Saccharomyces cerevisiae S288C: one gene and its partner. Changing the gene in region 1 together with any one later gene gives a genetic interaction. Each region holds a gene or a part of one and is shown on either strand. Other genes may lie near its edges. The genes, in order: GPI16 and TPT1.

The links.
Region 2: mutations in GPI16 (region 1) and TPT1 together harm fitness more than expected from each alone (negative genetic interaction), as found in Saccharomyces cerevisiae (2 studies listed by BioGRID).

Annotation. Positions count from the first base shown.
Region 1 is NC_001140.6:482,022-485,954, reverse strand, and holds the start of GPI16 (GPI-anchor transamidase subunit GPI16), read left to right. Parts: upstream 1-2,117; coding exon 2,118-3,933. Other genes in the region: ERG9 (bifunctional farnesyl-diphosphate farnesyltransferase/squalene synthase), read right to left, coding at 1-1,110; PTH1 (aminoacyl-tRNA hydrolase), read right to left, coding at 1,355-1,927. UniProt on the Saccharomyces cerevisiae protein: Component of the GPI transamidase complex. Involved in transfer of GPI to proteins.
Region 2 is NC_001147.6:125,164-128,435, forward strand, and holds TPT1 (tRNA 2'-phosphotransferase), read right to left. Parts: upstream 1,527-3,272; coding exon 834-1,526; downstream 1-833. Other genes in the region: myo-inositol transporter ITR2, read left to right, coding at 1-667; IZH4 (Izh4p), read right to left, coding at 1,819-2,757. UniProt on the Saccharomyces cerevisiae protein: Catalyzes the last step of tRNA splicing, the transfer of the splice junction 2'-phosphate from ligated tRNA to NAD to produce ADP-ribose 1''-2'' cyclic phosphate.

The DNA of each region.
Region 1 (3,933 bases):
GATTTGAATGTTCAATTTTAAGAAATTTGGATCTTGCACAGCCAATTTAGATTTGATATCACGTAAGTAATAGTCAAAAATCTCGACACAGCCACGCAAAGTCCTTGATTTCAAAATTAAATAGCAGGTAGTACCCTTACGAATCTTTACATTGCCATGTAGCACTTCACGGTTGTTGAATACCAAAGCCAAGGTTGCAATGGCCATAACTTGGGGAATGGCACAAAATTGGAAAGTGGATTGCTCGTGGATACCGGCCAAATAAGTCAACACATCGATAACATGACTCAATGCGTTTAAGACGAGGTGGTTTATACAGTCCAACCCCAGTTGTTCGTTTTCAGGTTTCATGAAGTCCTTCAACTGAGGAGCGTATTGTGACCAGATTTCCTTGGGCCAGAAGGATCTACCATCGACCAAATCTTCATTGTAATCTCTGATGATGTTGGTTTTTTGTAGGAAAAGACCCATGCTTTCATACAATTGCTCATTAGAATACAAAGATTCGTTGGCAAACTTGGCAATGACAATCAAACGGGTCAAACCATCACCGACCAAACCAGCTACGTAGTGACAGTACACGTCGTAGTCGTGGACGGTTTGCAACCCATTCAAGTTGTAATTTTCATCTAAGATGTAGTCGGCCATACCATTACCCATTTTCTCGGTGATCTCCTTGATGACTTCTTGATATTCTGGTTTCAATTTGTGGAATTCAATAAGAATCGATTCGAAATCTGTCAAAACGGCTCTGTCCTTCACATCGGGGGCATTTCCGTCGAAACTCCATTTAGTTAACAACAATTTCTCGTGGAAGTGACGCAACAAGTCAATTTTCAAATCGTGTTCGATGGACATATCGTCTTCGATGGTATCCAAAGCCCTTAAAATCAAATAAAAGAGAGTAACACAGTTTCTCAATTCTGGATGCAGCTCTCTGATCACAGCAGCAAACGATCTGGAGGTCAAGTTCAACAGTTCGAAACAGTGCAAGAGATATGGAGACGTGGACTGATCATAGATGGAGAATAGCGGTGTTCTGCAAAACTTCAGCTTCAAAGCTGCCTTCATCTCGACCGGATGCAATGCCAATTGTAATAGCTTTCCCATTGTGTGTGTGTGATATGTGACGTGTATACGTTTTCCGCTTCTGCTCTTCGTCTTTTCTCTTCTTCTGTGCTCTTATTCTTTGCCCCTGTCCTAACTTTCCATTTATATAGCCCGTGGTCGTGTTCTCGCTGCTCGTTTAGGCACTAAACCCAAAACCGATAACGCCTTCCGATGCAAAGTGCAGTGGAAAAGAAAAAGGGCAAAGCAAATAGGATGGTAAGTCGGTATTGTTGTTGAAGATGGGCTATGAAATGTACTGAGTCAGAGCACGCCAGGCAGCAGGTTCACTCTGTGTAAGCAAGGTTTGTAGTTCCTGCGGAGTTAGAGCTCCCAGAACCCACCGGGACACGCTCGCAGGGTCTCTAGAACGGGACCCAGGTTCTCTGCCGATTCCAATAGCCAATTTGGCAAAGGGTACACGGCCTCCACTGCATTTTAGCAGGCTTCGCAGCCCATTATGACCTCTAATACTGGTGCTGGGGGCTCTGAGCTGCACTTTTCCACACGCCACACTTAACTCGTCATGAATAACTACGTGTCGGGCTTGGTACTTGGCGTACCGGGCCCAGACCTTGCACACCTGTTCTCCACTTAGATTCATGTACTGGCCATCCGATCTTAGTATCGTACAATGTTCGTCTTCTATATAATGCACTTTGCCGCCCGTATTAGGCACAGGGGAATAAGTTCTCCCCTGCAGACCAAGCCGCTTTCGTAGCAGCTCCAGCATATATAGCCCTACATTGTGACGGGTACCAGCGTACTGAGGCTCTGGATTGCCTATCCCGGTCAGCACTAGTCTCCATTTACCGGACATCTTCCTTATCTGCCTAGAGTCGACTTGTTCCTACCTACTATTTTGCATATTATAGGAATAGTTCGAGATTATTTGAAACCGCCGGACCTTTTTGCGCTGGGCGATCTTTTACACGTAGTTTTAGTAGCCAATAAGTAAAAGGAGAGCGGAAACAAGTGTTCAAAGCAAACAAAGCATAGGCAAGACGACGATGATCCTCACACTGGCCTATTTCATGCTGGGCACTCTACTACTGGGTGTGTTCGCAGAAGACACGGTGTCGCAGATTGGTATAAATGACAGTTTATGGTATCCGTACGACGAAGCACTGGTGTTGAAGCCGCTGCCCAACAATGATCTGCTACTCTCATTTGCATTCCAACTGCAATCGGAACCGTTTGACCCGGCCGTATCATCCATGTCATATGATGCGTATGAGCACTACACGACTTTCCCACGGGCCATCCCACCATTGTTGGAATCTACTGCCACGCGTCAGTTTCATTTAAGATTTACCAGAGGATTCTGGGATGCCCTGTCGTGGGGACAGTTGCCACATGCTGGAAAAGAGGCAGGTGCCTCAGGTGTGGAATTGTGGTCGCAAGTGCAGGCCATGGATCAGGAACAGGCGTTCCATAATTGGAAAAAACTGTCCAATTCATTGAGCGGATTGTTTTGTTCTTCTTTAAATTTTATCGACGAGTCAAGGACGACCTTTCCCCGGCGGTCATATGCTTCTGATATAGGAGCTCCTCTTTTCAATAGCACCGAGAAACTGTACCTGATGCGAGCATCGTTGCCCAATGAACCCATCTGTACCGAGAACTTGACGCCGTTCATAAAACTATTGCCTACTAGGGGCAAATCCGGTTTGACATCTCTCTTGGATGGTCATAAATTGTTCGACTCTCTATGGAATAGTATTTCCTTGGATATTGCCACTATTTGTTCTGAAGATGAAGATGCTCTTTGTCACTACGAGATGGACGCACGCATAGAAATGGTAACACACGTTCCCTCCGCCTTGGCAAGAGGTGAGAGACCTATCCCCAAACCTTTGGATGGGAACACATTGCGTTGTGACACGGATAAACCCTTTGATTCTTACCAATGCTTCCCTCTACCGGAACCTTCGCAGACTCACTTCAAGCTGTCTCAGCTGTTTGCCAGACCAATAAACAATGGCAACCTGTTTGCTAATAGGCCCACAAGAATTTGTGCAGAAGTTGACCGTTCTACCTGGACTGCGTTTTTGTCAGTTGACGATACTATTTTCAGCACACATGATAATTGCTTTGACTTATCAAACGATCAAAATGAGGGTGGTTCGGGCTACGACTTTATTTTAGAATCGACGGACACTACTAAAGTTACTCCCATAGTTCCTGTCCCAATTCACGTAAGCAGATCTCTGACTGGTAATGGACAAGATCGTGGTGGAATGCGTATTGTTTTCCATAACGACAATGATACCCCTGTGAAGTTGATTTATTTCGAATCATTGCCATGGTTCATGAGAGTTTACCTATCCTCTCTTCAAATTACTTCTACTACCTCTCCGCAATTGCAAGAAAACGATATCATCTTAGATAAATACTATTTACAAGCGGCCGATAGAAAAAGACCTGGCCACTTGGAGTTCACGATGTTAATTCCAGCTAATACGGACATTGTAATGACTTATCAATTCGATAAAGCTCTTCTGCAATTTGCCGAGTATCCACCAGATGCAAACCATGGTTTTGAAATCGATGCAGCTGTAATCACCGTGCTATCTTTGGAGTCCTCATCGTCTCTTTATGAAATGAGAACCTCTACCCTATTGTTATCCCTGTCTACACCGGATTTTAGTATGCCGTATAACGTCATCATTCTAACATCTACAATCATGGGACTCATATTCGGTATGCTATACAATTTGATGGTGAAGAGAATGGTCACCGTCGAAGAGGCCGATAAGATTACGTTGCAATCTGGCTTAAAATACAAATTGCTAAAGCTAAAGGAAAAGTTCCTAGGGAAAAAAA
Region 2 (3,272 bases), on another chromosome or scaffold:
AACTGTTGGATTCAAAAATTCTTCTGCCGTTTCTATTATTGTCTCAGGTACTAATTTTGTGTTCACATTAATAGCATTTTTCTGTATTGATAAAATCGGCCGTAGGTACATTTTACTGATTGGACTACCTGGTATGACTGTGGCGCTGGTTATATGTGCTATAGCGTTCCATTTCCTAGGTATTAAGTTTAACGGTGCTGATGCAGTAGTGGCATCTGATGGATTTTCATCTTGGGGCATTGTCATTATCGTATTTATTATTGTGTATGCAGCCTTTTATGCCCTCGGTATCGGCACTGTTCCATGGCAACAATCGGAATTATTTCCACAAAACGTCAGAGGTGTAGGGACATCCTACGCTACTGCCACCAATTGGGCAGGTTCTTTAGTCATTGCGTCTACGTTCTTGACTATGTTACAAAATATTACACCAACGGGTACATTTTCATTCTTTGCCGGTGTAGCATGTTTATCAACCATTTTTTGTTACTTTTGTTATCCAGAACTATCAGGATTGGAGTTAGAGGAAGTTCAAACAATTTTAAAGGACGGATTCAATATCAAAGCCTCTAAAGCTCTAGCTAAAAAGAGGAAACAACAGGTGGCCGAAGGTGCTGCCCATCATAAACTCAAATTCGAACCTACACAGGAAATTGTAGAAAGTTAGACTGCTACACCAACAAAAAATAAAAGATAAAGAACAAAAAAGAAGGAAGAAAGCTATAAAAGGGAGACAATTCATTTCATCTAATCTTAAAAGTTTTTATTTAAATATATAAGTAAGAGCGAAGTATTTAAAAATAAAAATTCATAAAAGTTGAGCTTGATGAAAGTTATATCTTTTCGAGCGGTATGTTTCTTTCGTGTAAAATTCTTCTTAAAGTATCTAACTTCTCCTCATCTTTCAAGTTTCCTTTAACTACAACTTTTTGGATCAATTCAACGGGAATACTGCTGCTTAAGTAAACATTATTGAGCGACCTGAACATTTTCAAAGTTTGAAAGAATAATGGAGAATGGCAGTCGATGAAAATATAGACGTTACTTGAAGAACGCATTCCACTAATAACTCCCTTCGCGTGCAACATCCCCGGCGATAAATGGACATGATTTCTACTCATTGGTGATATTGCTCCGGATTCAATAATCTTTATGACAGATTGAAGATTTGTTCCATGAATTAGTTCCTGTGGTAACTGCGACGCTTCAGTAATTGGTACGAGAACCTCATCTGATGGCTGAATCGATTTGATTGAATGTCCCTGAGTAGCACAGATCCATTCTTCGTCCGCTCCTAACGTTTTTATATGAAAGCGTTGTTTGTCATTTTCCTTAACAATGCGATGGATATCATCCACCGTACATTTATGAGTTTTCAATCTATTATGAGACAATAGTTCTTTCAGCGGTGTATAACCGTTTGAGTCAATAGTCAACTTTTCTTTCACCGCTGTATGTCGAAGCAGATATGATAAAGCTTTGGAAAGCTGTACATCCCTTTTATCTTTTTGTAGTACCTGGCGCATTGTCAAGTCCACCTTTCCCAGTCATTCTGCTCAATTCTGTAATAATGTATTATGCATTTTGCCATTATTTTGATGAGCTTTCCTCGCGTCACGGTGTCAGTAAAAAAGAACAAATACATCACGAAGACAGAAATACGGACAAGAACCGCAGAAGACATTAAAGTCAAAACATGAAGCTTAATTCAACTCGTGTAAGTATCTTTAAAGGAGATACACTTCCCATTCTTGAATTATTTTTTTATTTAATTTGCCTTATTTATTCAATTATTTATTATGTGAGCACCAGCTGAGTCTAAGACTTGAAATTAATTAATTCGGGCTGATTCAAACTTGAATGCATCAAAATATAAGATTGAATCAAAATGAAAAAATGGTAAAAAGCCGTACCAGAAATCAAGAGATGGAAAAGGTACTCGGAATGATTCCAACCTTCTTCCTTTTTATTTCGTCTGAACAATGATTCAGGGAACCTGGTAACGTAAATTATAGATGCCGCTACCAAAGCCACAAGTTCCCACGTAATTGCGTTCACTTTTATCCTCTCTTTCAGGTTTTCTAAACCATCAAAGGTGATTATTGCGGTTAATAGTGGCAAGGAACAACACACTACTGATACCGAAATGAAGAAAACTGTTTTATTGAATCTTTTCGAGGAAATGAGTTTGTCCGTCAATATAAAAAAGTATGCCACTAATCCTATGAAGTTCATTAAAAGGGTAAAAATTTTGAAGAAAAACACGTAATCATAGAATAGATAATAAAGAATTGTGATTTGTGATGATATCAATAAGTTGATATTCGATAAATACGAAAACTTCTGCCAATGTTCGAGATGTTGTTGTAGAGAAATATTTTTGACGAAGTGATAAATGAAATGCACCATACAAAATACAAAAACGTTCAATAAATAAAAATTGAATACAATGTAGTCTGTCATTGTAGTGGTGGTGGGGAACAAAGGTATCAAATAAAAGTCCGTGAAAAATATTAGGAGACAAAATGACAGCATCGAACCCAAGAGATATATTAGTGCTACTAGTGACTCGTTCCTACTGGATTTATTTTTGTACTGTTTCTGCAATTTTGCCAAGTCATGGAATGGAAAACCCTTCTTTGTTTCTTTTGTCTCTGCATTCTCGTTCGAATCTGTCCCCCTAGTATCATTGCTCTCTTTCTCAGTGGTTGTCTCGCATTTGACTGGGCTTTGCTCTATTGTAGTCAATGAAACCATACTGTCAATATATATGTACCTTTATACCAATATTATATGCGCTGACAAGAACTTTAAGAAATTAATTTCCTTTTCTACTTTTTTTCATTTTTATTTTACTTCTGCGTCCATATATCCGGACCATATATATGAGTGTAAATCATTTAGCTGTTGACACCATTGAGTATTTACAATTAAAACCAATTGAGCTCAACAGGCTTGCGTTGAATAATGTTGAGCTGCCCAACGAGCCCTTTTCTCGCGGAGTGCTGTCCGAATTGTCCGAGTTTTTATACGGACAGAACTATCGCTTCTTTGAAGTATATATAAGAATAGACCGGCTGTTCACCCCGTATCCTCCTTTTCTATCTCTTGGCTTGCTATGTTTCAATGTCAGCCTTTGCTTTTATGTGCCCTTGCATACACGTGAATATGTCTATTTTATGTAAACTATAACAGCTGGTACTGCCCGTACATATGCTTAAATTAAATAGCTATTGACGAAGGCCCATTTTCTCGTAGAATATCAGGGTAAC